Macaca fascicularis: one gene and its partner. The protein of the gene in region 1 purifies or fractionates together with the protein of each later gene. This does not show direct contact. Links are inferred from orthologs where the notes say so. Each region holds a gene or a part of one and is shown on either strand. Other genes may lie near its edges.

Region 1 (10,976 bases):
ATCAATCAGAGTGAAGTCAGAATCTTTTTTTTGACAATGAGCCAATATATTCTTTTAAAGTGACTTTTGTTTTGTTTTGTGGTTACTTCCAACCAAGGTATCATTACTGAAATACTGACACTTCTCAAAATGAATCCAATGAAATTAGGACTGAAAAGCTTTCTTTCCCTGGTAATTCTCTGTTGTAAGCATAGGTATTTTTCATCCCAGCAGGATAATTTTTTTTTTTTTTTTTGAGATGTCTCACTCTGTCATCTAGGCTGGAGTGCGGTGGCACGATCTCTGCTCACTGTACCCTCCACCTCTGGATTCAAGCACTCTCCTGCCTCAGCCTCCCGAGTAGCTGGGACTACAGGCATGTGCCACTACATATGGCTAATTTTGTATTTTTAGTAGAAATAGGGTTTTGCCAGGTTGGCCAGGCTGGTCTCGAACTCCTGACCTCAGGTGATCCACCTGTCTTGGCCTCCCAAAGTGTTAGGATAACAGGCATGCGCCACTGCACCCAGCATCCGAGATAATCTTAATAAGTTTACCAGTGTCAAATTAAATGTGGATTGTCAAATTAAATGTGAATAACTGTATTCAAGTCAGGTCAACTTGGTCAATTTGAAGTCAACTCCTGATCTCAAGTGATCCACCCACCTTGGCCTCCCAAAGTGCTGGGATTACAGGCGCGAGCCACCGTGCCCAGCCTCCAAGATAGTAAGTTTACCAATGTCAAATTAAATGTGGAATGCCAAATTAAATATGAATAACTGTATTCAAGTCTTGGAATGAAAACTGCTAATGTTTTCATGGTGACTTCAATGACTCCTTACTTTTTCATGTCAAAACTTTAACCATTTATTCATGTCTGTGAGAGAAACCTCAATTCGTTTTCCGAGAATGACTCAATATGATGCTGGTGTTGCTATATCTATCTGTGGCAGTAACTGCAGATTTTGGCTGTTCCTTGGGGGCAGAATTTTTTTTTTTTTTTTTTTTTTCTGTAGAGACAGGGTTTCACCTTGTTGCCCAGGCTGGTCCTGAACTCCTGAGCTCAAGCGATCCACCCACCTCAGCCTCTCAAAGTGCTAGGATTGAAGGTATGAGCCACCGCTCCTGGCTCATGATTTTTGTTTTAAAGTGCATAAAAATAGAGGTCAGGTTGTGCTATCTGAAATTGGGGGCGGGGGGATGCCTCCTTTAAAGGGACATAAAACAGATCAAAATGTTAATATATCAGCAACCAAGTATTTGGATATTAATATTAATTGGCTTCCGCATCTTAACCAAAAGCTGCCTCATTGCTAACTCTAACAAAACTCATGTTTTCTTTTCCTTGACCATTTGTAGCATGTGAAGTCACTGGTAAGTTCCTATTATTTAATTTAGAGACAGGGACTCACTCTGTTGCCCAGGCTGGAGTGCAGAGGTGCGATTATGGCTCACTGCCACCTCAACTTCCTGGGCTCAGGTGATCCTCCCACTTAAGCCTCCCAAGTAGCTGGGACCACAGGTGCATGCCACCATGCCTGGTTAATTTTTGTATGTTTTTTGTAGAGAGATGGTTTTGCTATGTTGCCCAGGCTGGTATTAAACTGCTGGGCTCAAGTGACCCTCCCGCCTCAGCCTTCCAAAATGCTGGTATTATGGGCCATGCCACCGTGCCCTGCTGTAACTTCATTTTTAAAGGTTTCTTACTCCTTGGCTCGTGTGGTCTCCTCTTCCTCTGCCCATTTTAAATATCTGATGTTTTCATGATTCAGTCTTGGACCCTCTTCTCATTCTTTATTCTCCAAGGGTTATCTCATTTGCTGTCATCTAGGCTTTACTGCCAAATCTCTCAACAGGAAGCTCTTAGAAAAGACAATACAGTACATTTTTGCTCTGTTTAAAACTCTCTAACTCCCTAATGCTGTGAGGATACACTCCAGAATACCACCGCAGGATCTACCCTGGTCCTACCTCTGAAGTCATCTCTCGTCACTCCCCAAGTCCTACTCACATATGTATGTATATATATACATACACATATATATGTATATCTTTTATTTTTTTGAGACAGGGTCTCACTCTGTCACCCAGGCTGGAGTGCAGTAGTGCGATCACGGCTCACTGCACCCCCAACCCCTGCCACTGGCTCAAGTGGTCTTCCCACCTCAGCCTCCCAAGTAGTTGGGACCACAGGCACGTACTACCACACCTGGGTATTTTTTTGTACTTTTAGTAGAGATGGCATTTCGCCATTTACCCAGGCTGGTCTTGAATTGCTGAGCTCAAGCAATTCTCCTGCCTTAGCTTCCCAAAGTGCTGGGGTTACAGGTGTGAGTCACCATGCTTGGCTCTACTTACCAATCTTAAGTCTAACTGAATCTCATTTCCTTGAAGGTTCTAGGTTCTTGCTTTCTACCTCTGAGCTTCTACATACTGCTGTACTCCCTGCCTGTAATAGTAATCACCTCCCTATTACTCTTTCTGACTAATCCTTTCATATTTCAACTTAATGGTCAGGCCACATCCTTCAGGAAGCCAACTCTGCCAACCCCTCTTGAGGATATGCATTCCTCCTCAAGAGTCCCCAACACACTTTATTTCTCCCCTCATAGCAGTATCTTTAAGTTCTTGTTAATTAAGCTTTAGCCTCCAGAAGTTCTGTGAGGACAGTGGCCATGTCCAGCTTGTTTAGCATATTTCCAGAGAGTAACAGTCGCCTGTTCAGGAAAGGTATGTGATGAATATGTGAAGGACTAGATACCCTGTGCTAGGCTGTCTCTAATAAATATTTGATTTTCAGGAAAATAATTTATGGTACCACTCAGCTAATGTTTTGTGGGAACATTAAAAGTGTTCCTGTTACATTATTAAAATAATTAACTGTTAAATTATATTTTACTTATAGACAGTCAAAAGAAGGGACAAATTGAAAAGTGGTTCTGACAGTATGGCAAGTGAAATGCTGAAATTCTTTGACTAATTTAGTTAGTCTAAACTCTTAAAAATAGAAAGTTCTAATAAATATATTTTCTCTCATATTCAGGAACCATAATGGATACTAGAAAAATATTGTGAATCTTCCCACAAAAAAATGAAAGGACAATTTCATTTTAAAGAGTTTTATTACAGGATGTTAATATTTAGGACACTTCAGAGCACCTTATACTTCTAATCAGATTTTGGGTAACTGGTTTTAAAGTGTTACTTGAATATTTTTCTTATACTGTCTTTCAGGTAAAGTACTTCTCAGAGACCGTTTAAGAGATGTTAATTTGATTAAACAGTTTATCCTTAATAACCTGAGACATCAATCCATGGATAGCTTCTATGGTAGTTTTACAGCTGGAAAACAAAACACACATCACATGATGTCATAAATTGAAAACTATTTCAAACACACAAGATCAGCCCCAATCCATCCATGTAACTCCAATGAGTTTGGTTTTATTCATACTTCTCAAACCACCCCAATGTGAAGTTTTCCCTTGTTATTTTATTAGTCTTCCACATGTCTTTTTAACCATTTCATTACTTACTAGAACTTTCACAAGAGAATGACACATAAAATTTGATACAATTGTTCTGTTTTAGAAGGTGAGTAAAATTATACAAACCTGTAATTAGAGATTGATTCCAATATTATATTACATTATAATCTGTTATTCCTTGTTTATTACTTGGGATAATTTGAAAAATAATTTTGAAGAATACTATTTTTTTTCCTGAAATAATCACAAGCAATTGTCCTCCAACAATTAGAAGTCAAAGTTAGATTAGCGGGTGAAGGCCTTAGATTTTAGAAATGATAAAAAGTATAAGGCAAAAAGCAATGAAAAAACCCCATCAATATTCAGAAGAGATGCAATTCTTGTAAAGCTACCGCAAAAAGGAAAATACTCTACTTTTGATTACTACTTCTGTTCTATTTCTTATATAATTGAAGACATTGCCATAGTAAAATTTTTGCTTCATAAGACATTGAGAAATAAATGTAGATAAACTGATAAATTACATACATAAAGACAGAGGAACAAAACACACTCAAAGCAAGTATCTAAAATGACAACTAATGCCAACGAAAAATACTTTTTTTTGGAGACAGTGTCTCACTCTGTCACCCAGGCTGGAGTGCAGTGGCACAATCATGGGTCACCGCAACCTCTGCCTCCTAGGCTCCAGTGATTCTTGTGCCTCAGGCTCCTAAGTAGCTGGAACCACAGATGTGTGCCACCATGCCCAGCTAATTTTTTTCGTAATTTTTGCAGAGATGGGGTTTTGCCATGTTGCCCAGGCTGGTTTTGAACTCTTGAGCTCAAGCAATATGCCTGCCTTGGCCTCCCAAAGTGCTGGTATTATAAGCATGTGTCACCATGCCCAGCCGAAAAATGCAACTTTTATGCAGGCCACTAGCTCTACCTTCTAAAAACCCACTGAGTAGATGGCAGTGAAATAAGGCTAACCCAAAATGACCTCCAATCCCAGGATACACTTCAGGGACCCTTTTCTCCTCTTTTCCCTATAAACCAAACCAGTTCTTAAAATAGATACCAACATGTAAGTGTGTATAGAAGTCAATGTAGTTCTCCCTTCCTTTCTGCCCCTAATTATTGCATTACAATTCAAATTTCTTTTCTTTCTTTCTTTTTTTGAGACAGAGGTTCACTCTTGTTGGCCAGGCTGGAGTGAAATGGCGCCATCTTGGCTCACTGCAATCTCCACCTCCTGGGTTGAGGCGATGCTCCTGCCACGGCCTCCCGAGTAGCTGGGATTACAGGCGCCCGCCACCACGCCTGGCTAATTTTTGTATTTTTAGTAGAGACGGGCTTTTACCATGTTGGCCAGGCTGGTCTTGAACTCCTGACCTCAGGTGATCTGCCCGCCTTGGCCTCCCAAAGTGCTGGGATTACAGGTGTGAGCCACTGTGCCCAGCCTAAAATTCAAATTTCTGTGAAAGTAAATGTTGTTAATCTATGCAACTTTGTATAGCCTATATATCTGAAGGTCCACATAATTATTTCATAAGTTATTAGAGAACATATCCCAAATTTGTTCCTAATAAAATCTTTGGTAGTAAAATTTGGGATACTAAATTACTGTTTTAGAAGCACAATTTGAGAGAGAGACAATCACTTCCGTAATATCTTAGGATTTAAAGCTTTATTGAATATTAAAATATTATAAATTTAAGAAATCCTAATTTTGGCTGGGCGCGGTGGTTCGTGCCTGTAATCCCAGCACTTTGGGAGGCCCAGGTGGGTGGATCACCTGAGGTCAGGAGTTCAAGACCAGCCTGGCCAACATGGTGAAACCCCATCTCTACAAAAAATACAAAAAAATTAGCCAAGCATGATGGTGGGTGCCTATATTCCCAGTTACCTAGGAGGCTGAGGCAGGAGAATTGCTTGCATCCAGTAGGCGGAGGTTGCAGTGAGCCAAGATCACACCATTGTACCACTGTACTCCAGCCTGGGTGACAGAGCAAGACTCTGTCTCAAAAAAAAGAAATCCTAGTTACTTACACACACACACACACACACACACACACACACACACACTTTAAAGATCCACTGAAGGGCTGGTTTTGTTACACTTTCTAGTTGAACTTAGAAAAGGTGACTGGGAGTGTTCCATAACACTGCTTAGATCTTTGATTTAAGCCTTTTAATGTTCTTACCTGATGTATCCTAAATTTTTCAAAGTTAAAACTTGTGTCTGACAGCTCCTAAAGTTTCCAAGAAGTTAATATTCAGGTACCGTTCTAAGTCGTAACTAAGTTGAGCCATAAGGAATCTGAATCCTACTATTGTTTGCAAATTTTGAAAGAAAAAGAGTTAGGGGCAACAAGAATCTTACAGATTTACTCTTACCTGTCTCTCGTAGCTTTGGCAAGTTTGTCTTCTGATTTTCTGTCATGCGTTTCCAAACCCAGCATGAAACTCCCTCGTCCCAGCTGGGCTTCTGACTGCTCTAACTTTTCAGACAAATCAAAGACCTGACCAGTGGTATAGTCTGCATTCTGTGGGGAAAATGGTATTGTGTCACTACAAAACATAAGTCTACCATTTAAAAAATCTATTTTAATGTAAACTAATTTCCTACAAAGAATATTTCATTTGCAAAGAATTCCACTATAAAATCTGAGTGAATAGTCAGTGAGAAGAGAAATCAAATTACATTTGCAAATCTGCTTCCAAATTCAGGTAGTTCAAGAGTAGATAGATGTTTTCCCTTTTATAATTTCAAGATTACTTGGAATTTTTCTCCTTGACTGCTTAAATCTAATATTTGTTATTATGGGAGGCTGTCAAGTATACAGACCTAAGTCCAAGTTCTGGAAGTATGGCAGATTAGTTGAAGGCCTGAAGTATGCCTCCAGGTTCTCTTCTGAAAATGGTAAGGGAGTCGATAATTCCTACCTTAGAGCTACAGTGAAAATTAAATGAAGTAATGCATATAAAGTTTTTGGCACTGTCCATGACACCTAGTAAAGGCTTAGTAATATTAGCTAATTTTGCTATTATTTTTGTTGAACTTTTAGAATTAGTACTTATGACAATATTGATAAAAATAACATTTTAAAAGCTTTTCTGGGTCGGGCGCGGTGGCTCATGCCTATAATCCGCATTTTGAGAGGCTGAGGCAGGTGGATCACCTGAGGTCAGGAGTTTGAGACCAGCCTGGCCAACAAGATGAAACCCCATCTCTACTAAAAATACAAAAAAAAATAGCTGGGCGTGGTGGCAGGAGCCTGTAATCCCAGCTACTTGGGAGGCTGAGGCAGGAGAATCACTTGAACCCAGGAGGCGGAGGTTGCAGTGAGCCGAAATCGTGCCATTGTACTCTAGCCTGGGCAACAAGAGCAAAACTCTGTCTTTAAAAAACAAACAAACAAACAAACAAAAAATCTTTTCTGGTTACAAAATTAATAATTATACAAAAAAATTTGGAAAATGTAGAGCAATATAAAGAAGAAAACAAACACATTTATAATCTCTTCATTTAGCTTTAACCACAATTACAGAGCATTGCTATATGCTTACATGTATACCTACATTTGAAAAACTATAATATTACATATTTTACCAATATTTTTATGGGGTATACTTTTTTAATTGTAGTCTAAAACACACAAAAAAATTTCACAAAGTTATTAAGTATACATTATATTTCTTTCCTAGATCTTCAATAGAAGAGTGTGAAGAGGAAATAAACTAGTTGGCAAAAAGTAGCATGTCATTCTATTTGCTCAGCTTGCAAGGAAAGACAGTCAGTCACCAAACAAGAAAAGTTATTTGCTGCCATACCAGTTCTTCCAGTGACTTTTACAAACTTAGTATTTTTAAAAGATGCAAGTATATTCATTTTGTCTGGATCTAAATGGTTTAGGAAACCAGTATGTTTTTCCTCCCGCAGACTTGGAAAAAACCCTAAAGTTTATAGAGCTATTTAAGCCATAAAAATATAGGCTACCAGAAATAGTTATACTATTAAAATGACAATAAAAGATATCCAATTACATTTCAAATGTACACAAAATGAATATAGTAAACTAATTTCTTAAATTAGAAAATAACTTAGGTTACATGCTATAATGAACTTCCTTAGCTGGGGGAAGAGAGAAGTTGAACATATGTCTACATATTTGTTCTTAAAATGCTGCAATGTACTATACATAAAACAAAAAAAAGGCAGAAATGTAATTTAACCTTTTCTTGATTATTAATGTCCTCATCTATGCAGTGCTGGAATACAGGGACAGACATTGGGCTGAGTAGGTAGATCTGCTTGCCTTATACAAAGGTTCAGACTGCTCTGGTCTTACAGTGTTTTCTCCCCTTGCCATCAGGTGTCACTTCTGGCTGCTATTAGTATACTTGCCTCTAAGGAAACAACACATATAAAGCACTTAGCAGTGTCTGGCACATAGGAAGCATGTAACACATATTTGCTATTATGATCATTCTCCATCCTAATTTGCTACTTCTGACTACTAAAGATAAGAAATAAGAACAAATGCTGGTTGCCATGGCTCATGCCTGTAATCCCAGCACTTTGTGAGGCCGAGGTGGGTAGAAGACTTGTGCCCAGGAGCTCCAGACCACCCTGGACAACATGGTGAAACCCTGTCTCTATGAAAAAATACAGAAAATTAGTCAGGCATGGTGGTGTACATCCCTGTAGTCCCAGCTACTCAGGAGGCTGAGGTGGGAAAATCACCTAAGTCCAGGAGGTCCAGGCTATAGTGAGATGTGATTGTACCACTGTACTTCAGCCTGGGCAACAGAGTGAGATCCTGTCTCAAAATAAAATAAAATTTAAAAAAAAAGGAAAAAAGAAAAAAAAGAACAGAAAGCTTGTCAGAGTTGTATTTAAAATAACAGTAAATACACTGCTTCACTTGACTAGCCTAAAAAAAAATCCAGTAAATAACAGGCTTAAGTGAAGTCTTTTCCCATGAATATAATGCACCAAATTAAAAAAAAATCATTTACTGAGGCTTTATTATATGCCAGACACTTTACTAATTGCTTTATATAAAGTAGCCCATTTAATTCTCTCAGAGTACTTAATGATGTATGTAGTATATCACCATTTCACAACAAAGAAATGCTTAGTCACATTAAATAACTTTCTGAAAGTCACTCAGAACTAGTAAAGTGACAGAGTTGTTTTCAAAGTCAATTTTATTTTTTAGTATAGATACCATTTATTATAGAAGAGACATGGAAATTTACATAATTAAATATTTCAGAACTTAAGTGCAATGAGCAGCTTCATGTTGATGGCATTTCAATAGTGATTTACTTCAGTCTACATACTTTCTAAGAATGTCAGCATCTCTAAATAAGAAATAATCTGGCTAGGCATGGTGGCTCACAGCCTGTAATGCTAGCACTTTGGGAGGCCAAGGCGGGCAGATTGCTCAAACCTAGGAGTTCATGAAGCCAGCTTGGGCAACATGGCAAAACCCTGTCTCCACAAAAAGATACAAAAATTAGCCAGGTGTGGTGGCTCACCCTTGTAATACCAGCTACTTGGGAGGCTGAGGTGGGAGGATCGCTCAAGCCTGGGAGGTTGAGGCTGCAGTGAGCTGAGATCGTGCCACCACATTAGCCTGGACAACAGACAGAGACCCTGTCTCAAAAAAAAAAAAAAAAAAAAAAAAAAAATCAAATCCTTGGCCTTCCAGGTCAACTGAATAAACCTGAAGAGTGGCAAAGTAGTTCTCTACTTTGGTGCCTCCATATTCTGGGAGAATAATTCTTTATCTCTAACTTTCACATTAACTGGCTGAATCCACCTTTTCCTTGAAAGCTCAATCCAACAGCTACTACCGTTGCTAGCAATGCTTTACCTTAAGATTTTTCTGGAAGTGTAATGCCTCCTTTGGTTACAGTTTCAGCTGTACTCCTTTCAACCAATACTCGATCAAAGAGCGTAAGAAACTTCTAAGTGCTGGTCCTGCTATGACTCCTGCTGCTGTAGCTCATATTCTCCAAACCCAGTTTATTTAATTCTAAATCCTGTGGTTCTAACCACTATATAGATATATACTGCGATGTGTCTCCCAGTATCTACTGCTTTAAAGTAATGCTATTCTGATTCCCTGTGGGAACCTCTCCTTACCCATTTTTAGTCCTTGAGCTCCTGAAGGAGTTTTCTACGATGTGGCCCAGCAGTAAAGCACTTGCTGTGGCCCTAGCCACTCATCAAGCTTATTCAGTTGGCCCACACCAGGCCTAAAGATAGGTATGTGATTAAGTAAAGCCAGTCAGACACAATGAAGTTTTGCCTGGGAATATGTGAGTGTGTGTTTGAGTATGTGTGTGTGTGTGTATCTTGATCTTCTCTTTGAACATGAAACTGAGAGGCTTGGAGGTCTAAAGCTAAAGCTGCTGTCTTGCTTTCACATGAAGCCTAAAAGTAGTGGTAACTAAGATGAAATCAATGCTAAGAGAGAGAAAAAAAACCAAGACCTCATAATATTGTTTGAATGCAAACTTAGCTGTGCCTGAGTTAAGCCCTATTCCTCAACTTTGCAACTTAGACAATTCCCTTTCTTGTTTAAGCTAGTTTCATTAGGTATCCTGTTACTTGTAATCAAGAGTCCAAGCTGAGACACTTGACACACAAAAATCAGTATGTGTATTTTTTTTTTATCCGTAAATCTCTTTATGGCAGGGGCAGATCTCACCCTGATCTGGACACTCTATTTGCTACTTAGACTTGGTCTCTGTGAGTCATGACACAGATCCTGAATTGGCCTAGCATCCTAATCCAGCTCTGGTGGTGCAGAATCCCACCCTAGCCCTGGTGTCTTGGCCAAGTCAGGTACAGCCTTTCTGTGAAACAGTGTTTGAGATATTAAAGGTCTATGGAGCTTAGATAAAATTCAAATGCATTCCTTACAAGTATAGTACTTACAGTAAGCAAGCTAGAGGAACTCAACGTATTCACCCAATATTTATTCCACAACAGCTCGAGCAATTTGCGATCCAAAGAGGATTTAAAATATGAGACTTCTAAGGCATAATATCTATGAAATAAAAGCACAAAATTTAGTAAGTAAAAAAAAATATTCAACTACATCACATAAAAGTTATGGCTAGTTTTAAGTGAATTACACTTTATTCTCAAATATTCATGTTTTAGTTTTTATTCCAATGAGGCAAGAGCTAACCATGGTTTCCTCACACTTCAAGGGTTGTGGATCCAAATCTCCTACTAAACTTCTTGTTTTATTCCTTTTTTTCTGTAGAGCCCAGAAATTCCCAAAATGTTATTAACAACCAGTCAGAACTTCTGAATGACAAGTTTATTCCTGTTACTGAGTTCATAAATTAAGCCAACAGCACATAAACTTAATGAGCTGCCTCTCTAGAGTCAACTATAATTTTTGTTAGTCTCTTTAAATAATAAAAATGACATGTGGATTCCATTATTCCCTTCCTAATTCCCCAGTTAGGACCTACTGCTTTTTGAAAAGCAAATTTTAA
Region 2 (9,437 bases), on another chromosome or scaffold:
ACCCAATGGAGAGGAAAACGTAAGCATGGAACAAGTAGCATAAGAGGAAAGTAAATCTCCTGGTATCCCTCTTTAGGCCTAACTCGTCAGAAAGTTGCATAAGAAGAAAGGTGGCACGATGTAGCCTGGACCAAACCATCTTCTTCCCATTTCTTCCCCAACTCTAAGACTACTTTAAATACCACAGGCATTCTAAATAAAAGTAAAAACCTATCTTTGGTATTTCATCCCTTACCTAGCCTCTTCTTCATCCTCTAAACTGTTGCCAGCATGAATCTTTCTCAACTTGAGGGTATTATGTCCCCACTCTGTTTCAAATTCACCTACTTTCTCCACCACCTATAGGATAACATGGAATGGATATTAATTCTCAACCCAAGCCTTCAACTTCCCTGCCTCTTCTCCCTTCAGTTTTCTTCTCGCACCTTTGTTCCAAGCTTCTCTAAGCAGCTTTCAGGTCCCTAAACACAAGATGTTTTCTCATACTTCTCTGCCTTTGCATGCAAGTTTCTTCCCAATCTTTTCTTCCTGGTAAGGCCCACTGGATCAGCTCAAATGTCACCTCTCCCATAAAGCATTTTCTAATAATGCCTCCTTCTGCTCCCATCTGGCACCTTTTTCTTATAGCATATATCTTGTGCAATTAGAGTAGTTTCTATTTCATCTCCACATTCCCCTCTACCAGAATGTGAGTTCCCTGAGAAGCGATTATATTTTGCTCATCATTGAATCCCCACAGCCAAGCACAGGGTCTCAAAGAGACCCAGGACCAGAGGAATGCCCTGCTTTGTGATGTCCAAAAGTCCAAAACCAAACAACTCAAGTTAGGTTCTAGAGTTCGGAAAGAATAGTTTTACCTTCTGGGGCCATCCCAGCTTCTAACCCTCTTCCTCTCTTCTATGAGATCCTACTTGACCACCATAGAGGTAGGTGGAGGAGGCAAGGGGCAATCAAACTAGAAGTCGTGGTCTCTTTCCTTGGTTCAACCAATGCACTTCTCTAGTAATGAAATGACATGGAGGAATAGATGGATTAGCATGATTCCTGTCTCAGCAAGCAAACATTGGGTACTAATTTCTGGACCCCTGAAATATGTCTAACTTTACTAACAGAAAGTCCCCTCTGTCATTACCAATAAAGCTGGTTGTGTTTAATGAAGACACATCTGGAACTGTTTTTGTGCCTGCCCAAGGACACAATTACTATCCTCCTTCATTTCTACCTTTAAAACTAATGTTTCAGGCAGACCCATTTAATGTAAGCAGATGCCCACTTGTATTAGTGGAGGCAGGAAGGGACACTGTGTGTGGCTGGATGTATGAATGTGTTAATAGTTTAATTCTTTTAAGAACACTCACTAAGAACTAGGCTTTAGAACTTGAGGGTTGGCCAGGTTTGACTTTGAGGAGGTGAAGGTTGATCCATCGCGAGTTATGCACCTGGAAATGAATGAAGTATATTTACGAGAAGAAACTGAGACTTGGAATTATGTTGGAGGAGGGTTTGAGCTCACTTGTTCTTTCAGTCATCAAACGTTTATTTCATGAACATCTACTATATGCTAGGCGCTGCATTAGAAGTTTGGGAGTCCATTGATGAAGAGGATAGGGTTCTGACCGGGAGACACAGAGGTTCATAACACATTTTGGTAAGTGCTATCATAGGATTTTTCATGAAATGTTATCATGCTCACTAGGGAATTATTAATTCCCTTTGAAGATGGAGTTACCAACAGAAGCTTTACAGAGAAGGTGTCACTTACGCCAAGACTTGAAGAATGGGTAGGATTTATCAGTTGAACTAGAAGGAAAGGTATTCCAGGCAAATACATGCAAGCAGAAACATGAAGGGGTGAAAAAGCAAGGGATTTAGATTCATACAAAGATATGTTTCTGATAGTGGGCATGTAAGCTGGTCGGTTCGTGGTTTATCAACTTTTTTTTTTTTTTTTTTTTTTTTGAGTCATGGAACTCTGGGAGGGTCAAATAAAAGCAATAATCTCTCTCCTCAGAAGAGTGTGTACAGACACACACACACAACTTTCTGGGCATTTTCATTGAGTTCATGAACTCTCTGTCTTGATAGACACAGAGGGTTATGTCCCTGATTGAATTATTTTATATATGTAACATATATGTGTAAAACAAATTAAGAGGATTAATAACTATGTGTCACTAGCTTCATCTGCTCCAACTATTAGTGTTACCTAAAGATTAACTCATTGAAGGCCCATAATGAAGTTAACCATTAAGTGTTTATAAGCAGTTAATCTTTTGTCTCCAAAATTTACCAGAGATCATGGTTAATTTCCTCTACCACAATTATTTATTTCCACCCCTTTTGGTTAGAATGGTTAGAATTTCAAGACTATACATTTAGAATGTTAATTGAAACAATCAGGCATGGGGATAGGCCTGAGTTTCAGACTTTTTTTTTTTTTTTTTTTTAAACACTGAAATCTAAAGCAAACTGGGGAGTGGTGTGGCTTTTCTGTGCTGTACTGTTGTCTGGGCTTAGTCTACCTTTGCAGGTAATTAATTCCCCAGCCTGCTTATTTTTTCTAGTTGGCTCTTGTTTAGCTTCCACAGAGCCCCACCCCAAAGTGCTTTATTGTCCCTCTGCTATTTCTACATATGGTCAAAATCATCTCACCTTCCGGGTTGCTGACATCGGCAAATTCAGTTTGGCAAACCGGGCTCTGCTCCCAGTAACCCTTTGTTCAAGAAGTGTTATTACAAGGGAGAGTATACCCGAAGCTAACAAGCCTGTCCAATCTCTTCCACTCCTAGAGATACTCCTAAGGAGAAACTCTGTGTATTTGGATTTACAGCCACAGGCAGGATATTAGCACTCCCAGACCTATTGGGTACTAGAACATTGCTAATGAGCAAACAGCCCTGCCTCAATTAGTGGTTTGTGAAATATTCCTGGATATCAAATTGCTTTTGCTGCCTGATAATCACACTGGCTCTTGGGATGAAAAGCAACCAAGCAAAAAATTGTTCCCTTGTTGAGCACTGCCTTGTTGATCTCCTAAGTTACATCTGTAGTCAGAATTTAAGTTTCCCATTTCCCTAGAGCTGAGGTTTGATTTATGCATGTAATCATTGAGTTGGTGTTCATGTTTTCTCTTGCGAATCTTTTCCATAGTATTAGATTACTATCTTTTGAGACTGATTCTATAATTACTTAAACAAGGTTGATTATTTGAGAAACAAATTAAGAAATAAACTATAGACAGATCCAAAATGCTAAACTGCTAGTTTCCTTAGACATAGGTATTTATTTGGGGGTAAAGGGTGGTAGTAGAGAGGAGGGAATTAATAAAATTGGGAGACTGTTTCATTCAGATCACAACTTCCAGTTTGACTCTTCCTAAATTCTTTGCTTCTTAATTTTCAAGTCACTTCAGATTGCAGCAATGTTAACCTCAGCAACTAAAAATAAAAGCTTCAGTATATTACTTGGGAAGAAAAAAGTAGTAAAGGGAAGCAATTCAAGATCTGTTATTGGTATTTGAATACATTTATTGTGACAAGAATGCTGTTATAAATATTCATAAGCAAAGGCCATCTTTTAATCTAGGAATTGTCAAAGAGAAGATTCCAAATTGGAAGGATACATCTTTTGTAAAATCTGCCACCAATTCCTGCTTTGAGAATAAGCATCTATTGTTAAATTTCTACTAACATTATAAATGGTCACAGCACATGCCACTTGATACAATCCCAAACTTTGAAATGTTTGACTTCCCAGTGGGCTGTCCCTCTCCACTGCAACACACTCCCCCCCTTCCTCCAGCCTCCTGAAACATCGCACTATCCTTTGGTAAGCAATTCCATATAGATAGCTGGGGGAAGAAGAGTATAACCTGACCATAGAAGCAGGTACATCAGGAACATTTATTTCTAAAGTCTAATAGAGAACAGTTTTTACTGCTTGATAGTAAGAAGCACTGAGAGTGATTTTAATTGACATTCTTAACTCTTTCAACTCCACCTAGATAGCTAGTATCTATAGATGATGCAGAAAAGAGGTTAGGGGAGTACTTTTCAATAGTTTATTGTATTTTCTTAAATATCCTTTCTGGAATTTTCAGAAACAAAACATAAAAAAATTATATACTTTATTACAAATGGTAAACTCAGAGTGCTCCAAATCTCTTATTTACAAACAACACTGGGCAGGACACCCAAACAAACAAACAAGAAATAACTTACAAAGGCATGAAGCTGTTTATTGACAGTAATCAGCTTTCATCAAATTAAAAAATATATATATGTACATACACAGTTAACGAAGGCAGGCCAGAAAGAGTTCATCTGTAGGCTCAGCCTCGCTCTCACAAACCTCCCTCCTGCCGCCCCTCCCCAGCCCTCCCCCCCGCTTTGTGTTCTTAATGAGTACTACAGAAGCAATCTACAGTCTCTATTGCAGTTTGTAACCCCCTCCCCCTCCCCCCTTTAATACTGAATGAGATCGAATGTTAGGTCCATGCAGTTCTTGGTCAATGTTAACGAAAAGTCCAACGTTCCGTCCGCGCGGGGACAGCCCGTCCGCAAAGCGGGGCAGCCCGCAGGCGGCCGCTCCCTGGCTCCACGCCAAGGGAGGGCGCGCCAAGTCCTTCCCACTCGTGCACACTGGGGGCGCCGTCAGGACGCAACCCAGTCCAACTTGGATACCCTTGGCTTTAGTTCTCGGACACTTCTTTTTTCTCTCCGTCGCAACTTGTCAAGTTTTCAAGTCTGTCTCTCTGTGTTATTTTTTTTCTCCGTTGCCCCTCAGCCCCCAACAGTCTCTCTTCAAAATGTTTGCAACTGCTGCGTTAGCATGAGTTGGCACCCACTGTTAACGTGGTTCATGACTTTCTGTTTAAGCTGTGCCACCTGTTCCCTGAGCATGTTGGCCGTGGACGCCAGCTCCGAGTTCTGAGCTTTCAAGGTTTTCACTTTTTCCTCCAGCCGGGCGATTCTCTCCAGCTTCCTTTTTCGGCACTTGGAGGCAGCAATGCGGTTCCTCATACGCTTCCTCTCCGCCTTGATCCGCTCCTGGGACTCCATGTCAATGGGGGACAGGGGCGGCGTCTCGCCAGGCATCTCGGGCACTGTCTGAGGCTCCTCCTTCAGGGCTTGCAGCCGCGGGTGCTGCACGGGCATCTGCTGGGGCAGGTGGTGCGGCGGCTGCGGCGGCGGCTGCTGCTGCTGGGGTTGCGCGGGAAAGGCCAGGCCGGCCGCGCCGTAGGAGGGCGCCCCGCCGCCGCTGCTCAGCGCGCCTGGGTTGAAGTTGCTGAGGTTGGCGTAGACGGGCGGCTCGCTGTGCAGGCTGGCGCTGAAGCCTCCGCTGCCGCTGCCCCCTGCCACCGAGGCTACCGCTGGAGCTACCATGCCCGCCCCGCTGACCGGCTGCGCCGCTGACGTGACGCTGGGCAGCGTGTTCTGGCTGTGCAGTTCGGCCAGGGCGCGCACGAAGCCCTCGGCGAAGCCCTCCTGCTCGTCTGTCACGTTCTTGGGGCACAGGAACTGGGTGGGGGTCGGCGTGGTGGTGATGTGCCCGTTGCTGGACTGGATTATCAGGCGCTCCAGCTCGGGCGACGCCAGCTTGAGCAGCCCCACGTCGGGCGAGGTGAGGAGGTCCGAGTTCTTGGCGCGGAGGTGCGGCTTCAGGCTCCCCACTGGGTCGGCCAGGTTCAGGGTCATGCTCTGTTTCAGGATCTTGGGGTTACTGTAGCCATAAGCTCCGCTCTCGGACGGGAGGAACGAGGCGTTGAGGGCATCATCATAGAAGGTCGTTTCCATCTTTGCAGTCATAGAACAGTCCGTCACTTCACGTGAGGTTAGTTTGGGCTGCGTGCTGAAGTTTCGGGGCCGCAACAGCGCTCTGGCAAGCGGGGGACACCCGTGCCCCCCGGGGCCTTTGGCAGGGAAAGTTTCTCTAAGAGCGCGCGCACCCGCTGGTTGTCGTCCCCGCTGCGCCCTCCTCACCAGCTCGCTCCAGGGAGCGCAGGGTTAATTAAGATGCCTCCCGCACTCTTACTTGTCGACTCGCGCGCGCGCTACCCGGCTTTGAAAAGTCGCGGTCACTCACTGAGCGCTCTTCGGGCGCCGCCGTTCCTTGGAGTCCGCGGGCGAACTCGCTTCCCAGAGCAGCGGCTCTCCCGGCGGCGCGGATCAGTGCCGACCCGCAGAGGCCGACCAGCGGCGGGTCTCGGCCGCCCAGACTCCGACGACTTGTCCCCTCCTCCGCTGCGAGGGGGAGGGGGCGCCCGGCAGCCGCGGCTCGCGCTCGCCCAAGTTCAGCAACCGGTGCGAGCGAAGCTGAGCGCACGTCCTTCTTCTTTTGCGTGGCTGTCCGCCGCCTCCTGGTCTTTACCGCCGCCGAATAGCCTAAGACGCAGGAAAGGCTTGCAAAAGTTCGCTCCGGGACTCTGGGCCAGTTGTCTCCGGCCCTCCGGGCCGAGAAAGTTCTTTGCTGCTGCAGTCGCTCGCCGACTTCCCCCGGCGGGCGCGTGGGTACCGCTGCTCGCCACCGCTGTCAACAGCGCCTGGGCAGCAGGGCTCTCCTCCTGGGGGCGGCTGGAGACCAGGCTCTCTGGGCACTCCTCGTAACACCAGCCCGGGAGCCACAGGCGCTAGCTCTGGGCAGTTGGAGAGAAGGTGGAAAAGAAAATAAGATTTGCAGTTCGGACTATACTGCCGTCCTGGCTGGCTGGTTGTGTCTGTCTGCCTGCCTGAGTCCGCGCACCTCCACTCCCGCCTCGCTGCTTCAGCCACACTCAGTGCAACTCTGAGCCCTTATCCAGCTCGAGCTCAACACTTATCTGCTACCAGTCAACCCCTAAAAATAGCCCATGATGTCACCCCAAGGCCTTCCCATTGGCTCGCGTCGCTCTCAGGGGGGCGGGCCCGCCCGTCACCATGGAGACTCCACCCTAGAAGATTCTTCTCTGGGCCCGCGGAGGCTCACGGGATGAGGTAATGCTCCGCTGCCCTCCTACAGTCGGGCCCTTCTTTCTCCTACCCTCCCCCCTGCCGCACGCCTCTCGGCCCTCTCTTCCCCGGTCCCCTCCCCGGGCCGTTTTTCCCGGCCCGCCCGGTGCATTGTGGGCTGACGTCTTGGGGTTTGACTGTCTAGTGACGGTGGCTGCCGCGAGCGGGCGGACGCTCGCAACATCTGACGGAGGGGGCTCAAGTTCACGGCTGCGGACTGGGATGCAGGGGATGCGGGGACCCGGGAGGCCAGGGAACCCGGCCAGTTGTTTTGGGTCAAGGGTGCGGGCGAGGGGTGGTTGTGTTTCCCCACTTGTGGGGCTCGAAGTCATCCACCGGCGTCCGCCACCGCGCGGGGCGGGAGGCTGAGAGTCCAGGTCCGCCGCCCCCCCGCACTTCCGGGGGGCGGGAGCGCCGCCCTTAAGGTGGCTCTGTGAAGTCCCAGTTGGGGGCGAGCCTAAGGGGGCTTAAGTTTGGGGGCGGTCTCCCGAGAGTCGGCCCCCCACGTTGAGAAACGCTGCGAAGTTTGCATCTCGGTCAAGTTCAGGAGCGATGGTCCGCGGGGTTGTCTGGCTGCTCTTAGAAGCTGAGAGATTTGTATTGCCCAAAACTGGACGCTCAGCTGAGTCTCCGTTGCACCCCACTTCATCCTCCGGGACCGTGGGGGAAAGGGCGCGGGGGATCACAGCTTTGCCTCCGAGGGGCAGTTTTTATAGTGGGCGCAATTAGTGGGTAACAGGGTCCAGATGGGAACAAGCGTGTAGGCGATCCGAAACTCGGGGAACCCCGGTGTTAGTCTACTCCCCTTCCCGCCCCCGGACAACACACACACGCTTAACACAACACGCACAACATGCGCGCGCGCGCACACACACACACACACACGCACACACTCTCCACCCGCGCCGAGTTGCTTCCGGGAAAACAAGCTCAGAAGGCGGGGGACACTCGCATAAAGTAACGCAGTAGAACTCAGGAGCCCGGGGTAGAACCTGGACTTCAAATCTCCACCTTCCCGGCCGGGTGGTGGGCCCATATCCTGAGTAGCCTCTAGGAAGCGCTAGACACATGTAAGTGGTTCCTTTTCCGCGGTTGTTATTTTATCTTCCCCCCGCCCCCCACCCCTTAGGGACGAAAGTGTGTGGTGGAAAGAATCCCGAAGTCGGGAATGCTTGTTCTTTCGTGGCCAGGCTGCAACAGTGTGAAGCGAGCAAATCACGGAACTCCTCTGAGCTTCATTACCCTCATCTGCAGGTGGGGCCGGTGCCGTCCACATCACCGGGCTGCCGGGAGTTAGTGTGACAGGGTCGCCTGCAGCACTAGGGAGGTGGTGGCCAAACAGCTCGCTTCCCTCCCCTGCCTCGCGGTTTCCATCCTCGCAGAGCCTGGATAGGATGCCAGGATATAAGAGTGCGATTTGGCAGGACCAGGTGTACTTTCCTGTGAGAAGCTTCGAGGGGAGGAGGGGAGGGGGAACAGGGTTAGAAGTCAGCTCTTTCCCAAGCCTCTGTCTAGAACTGGGGCTTGAAGTTGGACCTGCAGCAGTTTAAGTTCCTAGGTTCTAAATTCAGACCTCACTGTTTCTGAACTTGGAATTCAGCCTAGGGTTCATTGCCCCCAGCCCTAAGGTATTTGCGGCTTTGAGTGTTCAGAAACCAACAGCAGCTGGTATCAGTGGGAAACCTGCCAACTTTTCTTCACTCCGTACACCCACCTAGCTTTCACTGATCTGCAGAGGGTAACTGAAAGCCTACTGTGAGCCAGGCGCTGAGCTGGGGAGGGGGTGGGGTAGGTTTACAGTGATGACAAGATCCAGTTACTTCCTCAAGGAGAGAACATTCTCCTCTGTCTGTTGCCCTGAATAATTTTCTGTTGTAATCAGGGAGCTGGTGTTCTAAATATTTTTTTATAACAGTAATAAAAGTAAGTTTCATGTATTAAACACTTATCTGCCAGGCATTCTCCTAAGTAATTTAAGTATGCTGTTTTCTCCCCACAACCATCTTGAGAGACATATATTATTACCAGATTTAACATGTGAGGAAATAGGCCCAGAGAGGTTAAGTATCTTTGTTTGGGACACACATGCACCTGGAAATTGACCTCAGGTCTGTGTTACATTCCTTTGTATTTTCTCTACTCTGGCAAACTTTCTTGTGGAGTATTAGTTATCTGCAGAGGAAATAGCGTTTGTGGCATAAAAGAAATTTTCTTGCCTGATCCTCTGACTATAACTCCGTTCAGAGTTCCTGTATTTAGAAATTTCAAGACTTAGGACTTTGTATAAATATATATCTTTTACCTAAGGGTTCTGTGTGTTCCTCTGTGCCTCATGTGGTTTAGTAGGCTGATCTTCTCCTTATGTTGAGAAATAGCATATTTCATCCAAAAAAAATAACAAATCTGTTCATGTTAATGCCCCTGCTTGGAAGCCTTCATTGGCTTTTCCTT

Evidence for each region. The genes of interacting proteins can lie anywhere in the genome.
Region 2: the proteins of COPS5 (region 1) and JUN purify together in Homo sapiens (affinity purification with western blotting; 3 studies listed by BioGRID and IntAct, with this or other methods). This does not show direct contact. The link is inferred for Macaca fascicularis from reciprocal best matches to the Homo sapiens genes COPS5 and JUN.

Annotation. Positions count from the first base shown.
Region 1 is NC_088382.1:77,027,606-77,038,581, forward strand, and holds the end of COPS5 (COP9 signalosome complex subunit 5), read right to left. Parts: intron 10,517-10,976; coding exon 10,405-10,516; intron 7,860-10,404; exon of another isoform or gene 7,686-7,859; intron 5,996-7,685; coding exon 5,847-5,995; intron 3,322-5,846; coding exon 3,237-3,321; 3' UTR 3,083-3,236; downstream 1-3,082. UniProt on the Homo sapiens protein: Probable protease subunit of the COP9 signalosome complex (CSN), a complex involved in various cellular and developmental processes.
Region 2 is NC_088375.1:175,916,772-175,926,208, reverse strand, and holds JUN (transcription factor Jun), read right to left. Parts: upstream 6,786-9,437; 5' UTR 5,808-6,785; coding exon 4,803-5,807; 3' UTR 4,047-4,802; downstream 1-4,046. UniProt on the Homo sapiens protein: Transcription factor that recognizes and binds to the AP-1 consensus motif 5'-TGA[GC]TCA-3'.